Linked DNA regions of Cricetulus griseus. The main gene of each other region encodes a partner of the protein of the gene in region 2 in a complex. Links are inferred from orthologs where the notes say so. Each region holds a gene or a part of one and is shown on either strand. Other genes may lie near its edges.

The links.
Region 1: Tfdp1 (region 2) and Lin54 share a complex: the UniProt entries of both Homo sapiens proteins name them as parts of the DREAM complex. The link is inferred for Cricetulus griseus from reciprocal best matches to the Homo sapiens genes TFDP1 and LIN54.
Region 3: Tfdp1 (region 2) and Lin52 share a complex: the UniProt entries of both Homo sapiens proteins name them as parts of the DREAM complex. The link is inferred for Cricetulus griseus from reciprocal best matches to the Homo sapiens genes TFDP1 and LIN52.

What each region holds. Positions count from the first base shown.
Region 1 is NW_023276807.1:162,537,752-162,543,303, forward strand, and holds the start of Lin54 (protein lin-54 homolog), read right to left. Parts: upstream 3,847-5,552; 5' UTR 3,708-3,846; intron 1,741-3,707; exon of another isoform or gene 1,497-1,740; intron 1-1,496. UniProt on the Homo sapiens protein: Component of the DREAM complex, a multiprotein complex that can both act as a transcription activator or repressor depending on the context. In G0 phase, the complex binds to more than 800 promoters and is required for repression of E2F target genes.
Region 2 is NW_023276807.1:67,424,674-67,429,617, reverse strand, and holds part of Tfdp1 (transcription factor Dp-1), read left to right. Parts: intron 1-3,717; coding exon 3,718-3,824; intron 3,825-4,944. UniProt on the Homo sapiens protein: Can stimulate E2F-dependent transcription.
Region 3 is NC_048598.1:119,313,673-119,319,123, forward strand, and holds the start of Lin52 (protein lin-52 homolog), read right to left. Parts: upstream 3,847-5,451; 5' UTR 3,641-3,846; coding exon 3,610-3,640; intron 1-3,609. Other genes in the region: Aldh6a1 (methylmalonate-semialdehyde dehydrogenase [acylating], mitochondrial), read left to right, coding at 4,228-4,284.

The sequences.
Region 1 (5,552 bases), about 95 Mb from region 2:
GCTATCTCTTCAGCCACAAACTTATTTTTTTTAACATTTATTTATTTATTTGTTGGGGGAGCACACTTGCCATGAGGAAGTCAGAGAACAGCTTGTTCAGGATTGCTGGCATGGCCAGTGCCTTTACCTGTTGAGCCATCTGGCTGGCCCCTCAAATTACATTTTAATGAACAACAATCATTGAATCTTCTAAGTACCTTTCAAACATTTGCTGTAAAACATTCTTTGGCTTCTCATTCTTGCAGTGAGTGAAAGCCAAAGTCCAAACTATACACACACATTCACACAAAATACTTGCCCTGTATATACACAATATACCATATGCTAATATATAAAGTATTGTCAAGGGAACTGGGATTGTCATGCAATTCAATCTTGTTTGTAATTCAAATAAAAAAAGTATTGTCATATTACTTTGTAGACAACCTGAGAAAGAAAAATCTGTTGCTACTCATAAATATTACTAATAGGCATTTCTTAAATATTAACCTGTTTACTCTCATAATTCAAGGTCACTGACCCAACCTTCTACCACTTAAGTTGAAGAAAAAAGGAGGACCCCAAACCATTGATTAAAATTTTGTATAACATGTAACCTTTAGGTATCGTTCCTGCTTTGTGCAAAGATACTGCCTAAGAACTGTGCAGCACAGCCTAACTCAGCAAGGACCATCAGGTGACAAAAGTAAGCAGGGGGCCATGATAAGGTCAATCAAGCCTTATAACCAAGGTAACAGTGCTCTGCCTACCTGAACAAAGACACTGCATTTGCTCCGTAACAAGCTTCAATATCTGTATCAGTTCAATGTGCTCAAAGCATTCCTCTGACAGTGAAGGTAAACTCACAAGCAGAATAGGGCTCCCAACAGAATTTCACTTAGTATATAGCCTATTATAAAATTTTCCATAACTTCGATCTCTGAATTTATCAAATCAGATGGGAACAGAGAAGAAAATCCCTTTAAAACTGGGCAGAAAATATGATTTACAGTATCAATTGTTATTTGCCAAGTGGCATGTTCAAAGGTACCACCCCAAGGATGACAGGCGCCATATAATTTTTTTTGATTGCTACAACACTGGTCCTTATGTTCAAAAATAGATGAGGATCCACACCCCAACAAGTTAGACTATGTTCTGTCACCAACATTAAATGTGGAAGAAAATGCCAATGCCCTGCCTCCCCAAAGAAACACAACTCCCTAAACTGCTGACCACCACCAGCCAACCCCCACTGAGTGGGTATTTTAAGTATTCTATCAGGAAATCATGGTAAGTACTAGCGGTTCCTCTAGGCCTCAGCAGCAGCCTTAGGTGTAAGCGAACTCAACCCTTGATACTGAAAAAAAAAAAAATAATGTTGATGTCATTATGAGGCTACTGATTCTTTGCACTCCGGACAAGTCATTCTTGGTCCGAAACGCATTTCCTCCCCCAGCTCCCAAATAAAGAGCTCTGTAGACGGAGAGCCCCCGGGTACCCCCCTTCTCCTCTACCTCCAGAGGCTGCCGCTTTCTCCACCCTCCGGCTCCGAGGAGCGGGCTCCAGAAGGTCCCGGGCAATTCCCAGCCTGGGCAGTGCTTGTTTTGCCTGTACACGGTAGCTCTGTCCAGCTGCTTCCTTTCCCAGTTTGCCCGAAATGGAGCACTACAGGGTACCCGGGGAGTCAGGAGGGAGCCGGGGAAGCGATGTCGCCGCGGCCGCCGCCTCTGGTATGTCAGGGGCCGGGATTGTATTTCGAAAGATCCGCCATTTTCACCTCGTCATCACCATCACAGCTCAGCAGCTTCCCCCGACAGCCGAGCCCCGGCCGCCGCCGCAGCCGCCGCCACCAGTCACCTCCCCCTTCCTCCTGCTCCCGCCCCGGCCCGCCCTCACGAGCAGCACACACCCACATATCCGGGGAAACCTCCCGCCCGCCGCGCCAACCTTCAAACGCACACCGGAGGTTCTGGCGCTCACCGGCGAGCCGTGCCAGCCCTACCACCACAGGACCAGACATCCGCGGCCCCGCGGGAACGCCAAGTGGAGTCGTGATACCTGCGGGATTCCAAGCCCTAGGCATTTGTTAGGAGGGCAAGCCATACGGAATCTGACACAAGAACAGTAAAGACCCCGAACTCTTTCATTTCCAGAAAAACACTTGAGATGGTAGACAGTTTCAGTGTTTCGTGTACATTTCAGAGACATTGGACACCTTCAACGTCACTCACCAACTTTGGCATTCTACTCCACCCACAGAACTACTTTGACAGTATAGCTATTTCCGTATACATGCCTGATTCTCGGGCACCCCTTAATGACAGGCGCTGATTCTACAGTGGTTTGAATTGTTGGGTTTTTTTTTTTAATTTTTAAGAATAAAGTTCTAAACTATTTTCCTCTCCACTTAACTTTGATCATTTCTGTTCATGAACACCATTGCGTCAACTTGTCGTTGGTTTAACTTGTACAAGTTCCACTAAATTTAAAGTGTATTGATTTAAAGTGATTGATTCCAACTGTGGAGGCATGAACAAAACACGAACTTTTAACATATAGAAGGCACACAGCTCTTCGCTAGAATCCCTTGCCAAACGGTTTTTGGATCTAAGTTTCCAAATTAAAAACCATCTGCTGCCGATACACTTGTTTGATGCAGTGAAAATAAACAGCTTGCTTGAGAACAAGATTCCGGAATTACCTATCCACCCCTTCCAGTTCCTCTCATCGTTTAGTTTAATAAGTAGCCAAAAGAGAATACAAGTAATGCTTAATCATCTAAGGAACAAGAACACATAAGCTGCAAGGCTTCTTAATGGGACCAGCATTCCCCCAAAATCAGCGTTTTAATTTCAGAAAGCCTTAATAATTGCCAGTTAAAAAAGCTGTATTCTTTATCATTCAGCTTCAATATAATATACGCTCTAAAAGACCTATTTGAAACCAGCAAACTGAGTCTCGGGGTTGCGAACAGGACTATTCAACTGTCTTAAGTTTACCTAAGAATACGGTAGAAGCAGAAGCCATTTCATTTCCATACCTTGTGTGAATGACAACTCCATCTAAAAGTCAGCAGGCTCGGGCTTAATCAAGTGCTGTCCCACCCACTCCCGGCGCGTTTTTATATACAGCCCGCTAGAGGCTGAGCGTGTAAGTAAGGGGTTGCCAGCTCCTTCATCTTTCAACTTTATTCCCCCACCAACAGCCGGGTCCACCGGCACTCGGATGGTTGTTTACCGTTGCTTGGCCAGGCTGAGTCCCAGCCCGCTCCCTTCCCCCGTGCACCGCGGGGACATTATGACATTTGGCTGGTGGGCTTCGCGAGGGAAACGGACACACACCCAGAGGAGTCCATACAAAGGGGCGCAGGAAGAACGCGGCGGCGGGCAGCGGCGAAAGGAGGCGCTGGTACGAAATGACACAGCAGCAAAACCGGTTCCCAGAAGCACGGGGCCGCCGGCAGCTTCCCGGGCCGCGCCGAGAGCCTGTCAACAGCCGCCGGGCCCTTCCTCCCGAGCGCCGAGCGGGCGGCGCCGACCCCGCCGAGTGACAGCCGCGCTCTCAGGCGCCAGCGGCTCGTGGCCGCGCCCCGACGACCCTCCGCCCGCCGCGGCCCACCGGCCCAGCTGCCCGGGAGCCGGCCGGCGCTCTCCGACCGCGCGACCGCCCCACGGGCCCGGCGCCGCTCCCGCAGCTCAGCCCGGGTCTCCGGGGCTGACACTTACCCGAGCCGGCGGCGCCGCCGCCTCCTTCTCGCGCCGCGCTCCCGGGGCTCCCAGCAGCCGCGGCGGCGGCGGCGCCTCCGAAACACAGACCCGGGTTTGTTCAAAATCACGCGCCCAGCGCCATTCCACCGCCGCATCCCATAATACGCCGGGCGCCCCGCCCCTGCGCCGCTCCGCCCCTCCCGCCCCTGCGTCGCCCCGCCTCCGCCGGCGGCCTTAGCCCCGCCCCTTCCGCGCACCGCACCGCCCCCTGGCAACCCGACGCGCGTCACTGCGCAAGGTGGGGGGAAGCGCTCTCAGGCTCTCACGTGACTTCCCCTGGGACCTCTGTCAAAGTGAAGGCGAGGAACACCCGGCAAGACCACTGTAGGTGCGGTTTCCAGCTCGCCCACGCTTGGTGATTCGCTTGAGTGAGGCGGGAGTCGACATCCTTTCCCCAGTGCAAACTCTTCGGAGTTTAGACAGACCTGAATTTTGCAAGGGGCGCCAAAAAAGCTCCTAGGAGGAGCACCCAAAGTTAAACTTATTTTGAAAGAGAGTTTTTTGTTATTTTGCTTTGCAGTACAGTACACACCTTGTACTAATACGGTGTGGATTCTTTGTATTCAGTCGTGGAATATAGTTCAAGATGTATTACATTCATTTACGTTGTGGGATGTTTGACGGTGCAAAGATGCGTTGCAGTCTTTTGTGTTGCATTTGTTTAGCTCTGTAGAACTGTGTTACTTTGCCTGTCTAAAACACCCGATTGGTCTAATAAAAAGCTGAATGGCCAATAGTTAGGCAGGAGGTGCATTGCTAAAGGACTGTGGAAACCACACAGGTAATGTGAGAGTACCTGGGAACAGCACAGAGGAGGTGAGAGTTTAAATTCTGGTTTAAATTCTGGTACCTCCACTAGTTCCTATATAACAAGTTTATTTTTCCATCTGCAAAACAAAAATAAATTCCCAAGATTCAAACAGCTAACTAAAAGCAAGAGGTGTCAAGCACCTACAAGATATTGGCCTGAAATGTAGGGCTATAACAACACTTTAGCAAGCTCAGTGGTGTGGAATTAGCATAGGGAGAATGTTGGAGAATACACATGGGTTTTATTAGGGATCAGTATGGTGAACTTAGTTTATGAGAAACTTTGAGAACTAGCCAGAAATCTTGGTCACATGACTAGTGGTACTGTGGGACATCTCTGGAAGAAGAGGGCAGAGATGGAGTTCCCAGATTTGGTGGGGTATAAAGAGATAATCCTCACCTGTCACACACACACACACACACACACACACACACACACACACACACACACACCTTAATAGAAAAGTTCTGAGTTCCTTCCACCAGGCTAGCACAATTCTGATACCACTACTATAAAGCAGCACCTAAAGATTAAGGGAAACATTTCTGATTTTACTGTGACTATTACAATTTTATCAATGTTAGCAATCTGGTAGTCAAAAGAGCTCACACCATACCAAAGGATTTAGTCTATGTGGAGAATGATAGTCTTCCATTAGTCAGTATCCTGGTGTACAGGAAAAAAGCATGGTATCTAGGGATGCATCATATAATACTCAACAACTATGCTGAATATTACAATTCTTAGAAGGCACTGGAGAAATCTCTCCATGGTTAGGCCCAGGTACCTTTCTTGCACAGGACCCAAGTTCAGCTCCCACCATCCATGTCAGGTGGCTTACATCTGCCTGTAACTCCAGCTCCAGGGAATCCAACATCCTCTTCTAACCTCCAAGGGCACCCATTCTCATGTGCACAACCACAAACACACACAGATATACACATAATTTAAAAAATAAAATGTTAAAAATAAATAAATGAAAGCCGGGCGTT
Region 2 (4,944 bases):
AGACCTGTCTGTGTGGGGTGGTGTCCCCTGGAGACTCCTTGAAGGAAGAAAGTTGTGTTTCAGGTGTCCACACACCCACCAGCACCTCTTAGGGTCCTGACAGATCAGCCAACAGTGCCTGTAGCACAGTGGGTGAAATAGCTCTCACTGTAGGCTTTGAAGAAGACCCAGGTGGCCAGGAGGTATGTGCGGTCAGTTTTGTTTCTGACCAGAGTGAATCATAACCTGAGATGTAAGGGTGGGCTGGAGAGATAGCGCAGTTGAGATCACTGTTCTTCTGGAAGTCTCTTGTTCTCTTCCTAGCACCCACACAACAGCTCCCATCCATCTATAACTCCAGTTCCTGGGGCTCAGATGCCCTCTTCTGGCCTTGTCAGGCACAGCATGCATGAGGTGCACAGATATAAAAGGAACTGTAGAGGTCTTGCTAGAGGGGAGGGATCCCTGAGACCCCTGCACACCACTAATGAGCATGCACACCAATTTCTAACCCACTCATGTGGGTTAGAAAGACCAGTTTGCCCCCTGAGGAACCCAGCCACTCCTCCTGTGGGCTCTTCTCAAGGGAGGTAAGGTCACTATGGTGAAGGCACCACCCATTGTAGTATTGCTCACAAGGCACAGAAACAACTGTGCCTGTCAGTGGCTGAATGGATAAAGAAACTGGGGGAATTGTATGTTCTGAGAAAGTTAAAGTTTTCCATTTGCCACAGTGGGGGTGAACAGGAAGGACATTACACTAAGACAGTAAACCAGACACAGAAAATTACTGTGTGTCTCAATCACACAGAATTAAAAACCAGAAATGAAACGTGCAGAGAGAGCATAGCTGTTTACCTGTGTTGGATTAGAGGAGAGAAAGTGAGGATGTGGGTGAAGTAGGGCAGGGGTCCCCTCTGGCAGGCAGTATGAGGCCTCATTTCTACTGAGATGGATTAGTTGCTTTTTTTTTTTTTTTCCTTCCAATTAATTTCTATTATGTATACGGGTGTTTTGCCTGCGTATATGTCTGTGCACCATGTGCATGCCAGATGCCCAGGGATGCCCAGAAAAGGACATCAGACCTACAATTGTGGATGCTTGTGAGCCACCATTTGGGTGATGGGAACTGAACCCAGGTACTTTGGAAGAGCAGCCTCTTAACCTCTGAGCTATCTCTGCTACCCCTTTGTTAGCTGCTCTTGCTCCTAAAGCAATAGGCAACTGCTCTCTGAGAGGTGATGATATGTTGACCCATGTTACTCTGGTAACTTTCTACCATTTGAGTGTGTCTCATGATATCACGTATATTTCTTAATGTGACTGAATATACAAAATGAGCTGAGTGGTAGAACACTTACCCTGGCGTGTCCAGGGCCCTGGCATACATTCCCAGCATTAACTTTTTTTTTTTTTTCCGAGACAGGGTTTCTCTGTGTAGCTGTGGAGCCTATCCTGGCACTCGTTCTGGAGACCAGGCTGGCCTTGAACTCACAGAGATCCACCTGCCTCTGCCTACTGAGTGCTGGGATTAAAGGCATGCGTCACCAACGCCCGGCCAGCATTAACTTTTTAAATTTCATGTGTGTGGGTGTTCACTTGCATGTATGTATGTGTACTACCTGTGTGCCTGGTGCCCCTAGAGGCCAGAAGAAACCTTAGATACCCTGGAGTTGTAGACAGTTGTGAGCCACTTTGTGGGTGCTGGCAACCAAGTCCAGTCCTATTCAAGAGCAGCATGTGCTCTCTCTTGACCACTGAGCCACCTCTCTAGCCCCCAGTTTTGTTTTTTCCAGACATTTTTTATGTTCAGTCATATATATGTGTATGCGTATGTGTGTGGCTATATGCACTCAGATGCATATAGCCACACACATACGCATACACATATATATGAGTGCATATAGCCACACACTATATGCATATGAGTACCCAAAGAACTTCTGCACTGATTTCCCTTGTGACTGTGTCAGCTTGTATTATCTTCACCAGCGGTGCCTAAGAGTTCCCCTCCCCTATATCCTCCAGCATTTGTTACTTGTTTTCTGTCAGGTCAGATGGAGTCTCGGTGTCATTTTGATTATCACTTTCCTTGGCTAAAGTGGCTGAACATCTTATCATTATTTTGGTATTAACTGGCTATTTGCACTTTTGAAAATTATGTAGATCATTTGCTTAGTTATTGATTGGCTTATTTGTTCCTCTGTTGTTGAATTTTTCCATTTCTTTCAATTGTGATGTTAATCCCGTTAGATGAGTAGCTGGCAAAGATTTTTCTCCTTTTTTGTAAGCTCTGTCTTCACTGGCGACTGCTTGCTCTGAAGAGGCTGTTCCTTTTCATCCTTTTGTCAGTTCTTGGAATGATTTCCTGTGCGAACGAACAGTTGGAGTCCTTTGAGGGAATCCTTGCCTATTCCTATAGCTTCAAGTGTTTGTCCTCTCTTCCTCTGGCAGTTTCAGAGTGTGAGGTCTTGCATTAAGATCTTTGATTCGTTGGAACACATTTTTGCACAAGATTATTTAGCTCTTTTTTGTTTTGTTTTATTTTATTTATTTATTTATTTATTTTTGCACATAGAAATCTAGTTTTCATAGCACCACTCAGAAGAGGCTGCTGTTTCTCCAGTGTATGCCTTTGGCATTTTTGTTGAAAATCAGGTGTCTGTAGCCCCTTGGATTTCTGGATCTTCCATTCTAACACATTGATCTGTGGGTCTGTTTTGTTGCTGTGGCTCTAATTTGAGATCAGGTATTGGTAACCCTCCAGCACTGCTCTTTCTGCTTGCAGTTACTTTGGCTGTTTGGGTTTCTTATGCCTCCTAATTTTAGACTGCTTCTATCTCTGTAAAGAACATTGTTAGTATTTTGGACTATTTACTTACAACCATTTTTATACTGGACTTTAGATGGTGTGCTGGTGTGGCATGTGTGAGGCTCTGGGTTCAATCCCTAGACATACTCTAAAATGAAAAATCAAACAAAAAACTTGGGAAAACTCATTTGTTGACCTTTTGGCTAAGGTCAGGTGGGGGAACTCTCGACTTGTCAATCCTTTGTTTGGTCAGGTCAGAGAACACCAGGTCTTACACTTTCATAATTTGCTGCCTTAAATCTGAAGATAGGAAGGGTGTACTTAACAGTTACAAAAATGTGAATGTAATGTTTTAGGATCTTTTCCTGAATTGTGGCAGTTGATACCATCTATACAGCTATACTTAACATTTGGTTCCTTTGAAAGTCTTCATAGTTGACATTTAGACATTTTCTTTAGTGAGAGTTAGCTCTAGTTCATGTTCTGATTGCTCTCTGAAGCTGAAAAGCCAGCCTTCCTTGGGGATTCTGTGTGTCAGTCTTCGTGTTTGGGAAACACCTAAGGTGTTCTACATTATTTTGCCGCATCAAAGCAAAGAAATGGCCATTTTATTCCCAAGACTCGAGGGTCGGGACAGAGCATGGGCTGTTAGTAGTGATGGAACAGCATGTTGAGGTGCTGTGGTAAGTCTGATGCCTGCTGTAAAATGAACCCTGCTAGTCCCTGGGCCCAGTATCTTCCTTAGCCAGTGCCCAGGAGAGGGAACTGGAGGGCTCACGGACAAGTTTGGGACATTTGTGACTGAGCCATTGGTCTGCAATGTCAAGACTAGGGTTCTTGATAGAAACACCATCTTCCTGGAACTGCCCCTTTTAACCTCAGCTCAGAGAACAGCTTGACTCTTAACCTGTGCCCTTGTATTCCAGGTGTGGTGTCTCTTGTAGCTGTCCACCCATCCACAGTGAACACACTTGGAAAGCAGCTTTTGCCAAAAACCTTTGGACAGTCCAATGTCAATATCACACAGCAAGTGGTAAGTGGTAAGACACATGAATCCCAGGTGTATGGAATGGGCTAGATGTGGGCGGTGTTGCTGTGGCCACAGTGTTCCTAAGTGGTGGAGGTTGCTTGCAGGAGTGACTCTCCTCTCTTGGGTGCATTCTGACTCCTGAAAGTGTGCACTGCTTTCTGTTGTACAGACATAGTGCTCAGTCTTCCGTTTCTTCAGTGTGCCCTATGTCTAGGAGTATTTGGAGGCCCTATACACATGGCAGTAACCTAATGGATATAGAAGGACTAAGGCCTGAACAAGCTTCCTGCTCCATGGCTTCCGTAGCTAGAGCTCTTGAGTTAGAGTTGCCTCTGTGTTACAACAAGTTCTGTGGCCTTTTTCTATAGCCACTGTGTCTCCTAGTTGCGAAGAGATGAAGGAAGGGTGTGGCTGTGTGGCTATGGCCACAGGAAGGGACCAGCACCATCCCCTTCCTTCATTGAGTAACACATCAAAGATGAAGAGCCCCTCAGTGTGATTCGGTCTCAGGCCAGTGGAGCGAGCTCACCTGTAGCTGGAGGTTCCTTCGGGGGTATTTTAGCACAGACCCATAGTGGACAGATTCCTGTCTTTCATCCAGGGACCTACCTTCTTCATGGCTCTAGGTTTTTCCCCTAGCCTCTAGTTGTTTGGCTTCTCCTGGAAACCGGGTCCTTGTGACACGTGCACCTCTGTCCTGCTCCATTGCCCACATGCTGCTTTCTCTCACAGTGTCTTACCCCACCAGCTTCATGTCTTCTGAGGAGGACCTAGTACCCTCCCTCAATTAATCACGGGGCCTTAGGAGTCTTTAGCTGAACATTTTTTTATATGTATTTATTTTTTGTTCTCTTTTTCTGTGTATTAGATGTATGTGGAGGTCAGAGGACAGCTTGCAGTTGTTTTCTTCTGCTCTACCATGTGGGTTCTGGGGATTGGACTCAGGTCATCAGGTTTGGTGTCCGGTGCCTTTATCAACTGAGCTGTTTCACCAAACCCCTCCACAGCTTTCACAGGTGTCCCTAGCTGTCCCGCCACTCTGGGTTTCTACAGGCATCCCCTGGTGTTTCCAGATGTCCCTCATCCCTCAAGCCTGGATTTTTTGCAGCTGTTGTTGGGGCAA
Region 3 (5,451 bases), on a different chromosome or scaffold from region 2:
GTTTGTTTTTTGAGACTGGGTTTCTCTGTGGCTTTGGAGCCGCCTATCCTAGCACTCACTCTGTACACCAGGCTGGCCTTGAACTCATAGAGATCCACCTGTCTCTACCTTCCGAGTGCTGGGACTAAAGGCGTGTGCCACCAAAGCCTGGCTACTTTTTGACTTTTGAAAGTAATATTTATTGCCTGGCAGTGACAGTGCACACCTTTAATCCCAGGACTCAGGAGGCAGAGTCAGGTGGATTTCTGTGAGTTTGAGGCCAGTCTGGTCTACAGAGTGATTTCCAGGTCAGCCCAATCTACACAGAGAAACCCTGTCTCAAAAAGCCAAAAAAAAAAAAAAGAGAGCATTTATTTGATTGATTGATTGATTGATTGATTGATTGATTGATTGATTGATTTTTCAGAGACATGGTTTCTCTGTGTAGCTTTGGAGCCTATCCTGGCAGTCGCTCTGGAGACCAGGCTGGCCTCGAACTCATAGAGATCCGCCTGCCTCTGCCTCCCAAGTGCTGGGATTAAAGACATGCACCACCAACGCCCGGCTGTAAAATAATATTTATTGGGTTCATATTTGTGCCCTAAAAATTGAAGTTGATTCTCTTCTTCAACATGTGGATTCTGGGCTCAAACCAAGGTTAGCAGTCTTGGTGACAAGTTCTTTTACCTGATAAGCCATCTCATTAGCTCAGAATTTCCCTCCTTTGAAAAAAAAAAAGACAAGGAGGGTGGGGGTGGGGGGCAGTTTGTGAAAGATCTGTCAGTAAACTGCTTATTGAGCAAACCTGAGGACCTGAGTTTGCTCTCCAGAACTTACATGAAAAAAATATGAGGTTGCCAGGCGTTGGTGGCGCACACAATTAATCCCAGCACTCCAGCAGGCAAAGGCAGGTAGATCTCTGTGAGTTTGAGGCCAGCATGATCTCCAGGGTGAGTGCCAGGATAGGCTCCAAAGCTACACAGAGAAACCCTGTCTCAAAAAACCAAAAAAAAAAAAAAAAAAAAAAAAAAAAATGAGGTAGCAGTGTTAGTGATCCCAGCACTGAGGGGTTCTTGGACCTTGCTGGCTAGCCATTAGCCTACTACTTTCAGGCCAATGAAAGGTCTTACTTCAACAAGGTGGGTGGCTTTTGAGGGACTACACCTAAGGTTAACTAGACTCCACATATACTGGTACCAACATGCATGTCTGAGTGCAGACACACACATAAACATTATAAACATGCAGTCTCTCCCCTTAAACTCACAACCTCCCTCCAGGGTATCCTGTTCTTATTTCCACACCTCACATTCCTCTGTGTGTGAGCATGCATGTGCTCGAGAGGGCACTCACTGTATGGGTGTAATGAGTGCAGATGTAGGTGTCTGTGACTGTGAAGATCAGGAAGGATGCTGAATGTATTCCTTTTGCTCTCAGATTTATTGTCTTGACACAATGTCTCCCACTAAACCAGAAGCTAGCTAGACTGGCTAGCCAGCAAGCTCTCAGGATCCACCTGTTTCTGTTGTCCAAGATGCTGGTATTATAGGCACATGCACCCATACCTAGCTTTTAAGTGAGTGCCTGAGATTTGAACTCAGGTCCTCATCTTTGAAGAGCAAGCATGCTTACATACTGTGCCACCTTCCCAGACCCTACTCTGCCTCCTTAACCTATAAAACAAAATCATGATCTGTCTGTGCATGCATTAGACTACAGTTATCAAAGTTCTCTATGTGAAATCATTTCTTCTGTGACCTCTCAATAGCATGTGATGCTTCTATGCTCCTATGAAACCACCATATTGGTTCTTCTCTTAGTTATTCCTTCTTCAGTCTCCACTCAAACCTCACCCTATGCTAGCTTTACTCGCTACAACTCTCACTATTACATAACAACAACTATTCATATTTCCAGTCCCAACCTTTCTCCTGAACTTCAGAATAACATGTCCAAGAAGCTACTTGATGTCTTTCTGTATTACATGTAGGGAAAACCCCTTAAACCCACTATGTTCTTTCCCAATCCTCTCCATGTTGAGACATTACAACACCATGAACCCCGATTCTTTAAAAGCAAAAACCCTTTGAATTATTTACTTTTCACTAGTTTATTTTGTTTTGTTTTTTGTTTTTCTGAGACAGGGTTTCTCTGTGTAGCTTTGGAGCCTATCCTGGCACTCCCTCTGAAGACAAGGCTGTCCTTGAACTCACAGAGATCCGCCTGCCTCTGCCTCCCGAGTGCTGGGATTAAAGGCGAGCGCCACCAACACCTACTTTTCACTAGTTTAGATGTGTGCTAGAGACTGAACGTAGGGCTTTGTTCATCAGAGGCAAAGCTCTCTCCCACTAACCTATATACTCACTTTTTATTTTCAGATTTATTTATCTGTATTGCTGTTGTCTGAATGTTATGGGCACAATATGCCTGCCTGATGCCCATGGAGGTCAGTCAGATCCACTGGATGGTCATGCATGCCTTTAATCACAGCACTCAAGAGGCAGAGGCAGGAGGGGCTGAGTTCTAGGCCAGCACGGTCTACAGAATGAGTTTCAGGGTAGCCAGGGTTACAGAGAGAAACCCTGTCTAGAAAAACAAGCAAACAAAAAACCCCACCTTTTTGAGACATACTTTGCCCACAATTCCTTCTGTAACCTAGGCAAGCCTGAAGCAACAATCTTCCTGCCTTGATCTCCCAAGTAGCTAGGATTAGAGGTCACACACCAAGGCCAGTTTCATTTTTTGAGAAACATTAACTTAAGGCCAAATGCTTTGCAGGCATTAGGATAAAACCTAGGATTAAACTCTGAAATAAGACAGACTTGAAACTTATAATTAGGTTGTGGCCAAAACAAAATAACTATGCTGAGAATGAATATACTGAGATACTGAATAATGACTGAAGGGCAATTCCAAATCCTGAAACAGAACCTCGAGCAAAAGCATACAGGTATAACGAAAATACTTAATTGCCACCTAAGATGAATTGCATCTTAGATGTCATGTAAGCAGAATTGCTCCTGCTCTCAGGCTACGGAAACAACACATAAAAAAAATAAGAGTGTGAGACGCTACAAACTATATTAACAAGACTACTTTTCATTTCCCTCGGGACTCAGAGCCAGGAAACCAGGTCCTTGATTCTCCTGCTGCCAGGGCAACGGACCTAAACTGAGAAGGAGACAGCGTGTTTCTCGACCTAGGGATGAACTCGAAACCTCACGTCAGTCACCAGCCACAGCTAGGACTTCAAAGACTCCTTCTAGCTCTACTGAGATGAGATCAGAACCGACACTCCAAGGAGCGGATCCGAAAAGAAAGCTGCCTTTCCCCTGAAGCCCCTTCTGAGCCCTCGGCATCACCGATGGGCCAGGCCGAACTCTGTCCTGTTTCCGGGAAAGGGTCTGTTTGGTGGCCTCCTTCACCCAGCAAGTGGGGAGACCTGGTACTTGGCACCTCCGGGGACGCTGTGAAAACCCTGCGGGCTGAAAACCCGACATACCCGGAAGGAAAGAAGTGGGAGAGCAAGGAGAGGAGCCCAAGAAAGAAGGGTAAGCGTGAAGGCATAGGAAGCTCCCAGAGAAGCAAATAAAGAGACTACAGGGCAACAATCTCCAAGCCGGCTCTTACCGTCCGTGGGAGACGCCATCTTCCAGCCCATGTCACGTGACGTGGCCAACCGTCGGCGGGAAAGCGAGGACCCACAAGCCACGCCCCTGGAGAAATAACCTATCCTCAACTCGCGACCCGGTCTTGCTGCCCTAGCCCATAGGGTAACATTTGCCTAGTCCCACCCCAGAAGGCAGCCCCGCCCGGGGCGCCGTAGTTAAGGTGGAACGCAGGCAAAATTCTCCACGGGCCTTATTTACTTTCCTTAGCGAGGGGGCGAGGCCTCGAGGCTGCCTACCTGTAGCCAATCGGAGCTCCCGGTTAGGGGGCGTCTTCCCCAGCTCCGCTTGGTGCTTAATATGCAGGACCGAGTCGGGGTGGGGGCGTCTCCCGCTCTCCGCCAACAAAAATCGGCTGGGGTGAGAGTGGGCGAGAACGCTTCCTCTTCTGACCAATCACATAGTCCCAAGACTGGGAGGGACGGGTGGGAGTCAAGAGTTCTGACAAGCGATTGGTTACGAGACGTGGCCCTCTCCTCCAATGGCAAGGCCCGGCCGTGTGGAAGGCGTGGCCTAGCGGTGTGACTTCTTGGGAGGCTCTGGCAGCCTTGGCTCGTGAACCAGGCAGAAGTGCTGCGCTATGGCGGCGGTGGCGGCGGCGGCGGCGGCGGCGGCAGTGCGGACCCGGATCCTGCAGGCGAGTGAGGGTGGCGACGAGGGACCATGATGTTAGGAATGGGTCCTTACCGCCCCGTCTCTAAACCATGCTCCTGCCGGACAGACTTACTGTCCCAGCCCCTCTGCCGACCCTCTTCCACCAGCCCCGAGTGTCCGGCTGTCACTCTGTACTGTCTCTGGCCCTGCATCCAGCCCCAGACTGTCACGCCTGGCTCTCCCTCCTTTTGCTCCTGAGCCTTTCCTTTTCTGGCTCTGACCCACCCACCTCCAGTTCGGCTCAGTGCCCACTGTCACTCTTTGGCTTGCTTTCTCTCTCTGGTTCCTCCCACGGTCTCTCACCTCTGCACCAGCCACCTCTGTTCCCCAGAAACTCCCCCCTTTTGGTCACCTTTCTCAGAGTAATTTATTTTAGGGGTGTCCCTTCCCCCACCCAACCTCTGTACATAATCTGAGGTAAGGGGAGGAGGGAGGGGAGCTCACTAGGGTCGTGCTACTAGGGTCGTGCAACTAGGGTCGTGCGAAGGAACTCTGAATCGCCTAGAAATGTACCCTAGGTTTCCACATCAAAGGCAGCCATTTGCTAGCTGTTTTCCCAAACTATGATGGCTCCTAGTGTTTTTCACAAGCTCTGGGCCAAGTTAAACTTTCTCAACAAAGTTAACGTTTGGAGGTAAATAAGGGCACGTTATGCTAATACTGATTCATTCAAAGGACTAAATATTTCCCAAACAGGTGGTAGAAAATGAGAGCCTAGGAAGACATGTTCCCAAAGTCAGCTCCTCAAATGCAAACACACTCCCACTCTGCCAGACTGGGACTGGAACCCCAAAGAAGACTGCCTAAGGGCAGTTGTAGAGCTATGGAAGCTTCAAGCCTATGATCCCCAGCTTTGTTGATACCCTTTTGTGAGCTTTCACCTTAGCAAGGATCTAGAGCATGAGGCAAGATACTGTTACTGTCAAGATTCATAATCCGCCGGGCAGTGGTGGCACACGCCTTTAATCCCAGCACTTGGGAGGCAGAGGCAGGTGGATCTCTGTGAGTTCGAGACCAGCCTGGTCTACAAGAGCTAGTTCCAGGACAGCCTCCAAAGCCACAGGGAAACCCTGTCTCGAAAAACCAAAAAAAAAAAAAAAAGATTCATAATCCTGCATTAAGCAACATTGTCTCCTTCTTACTCATCCAG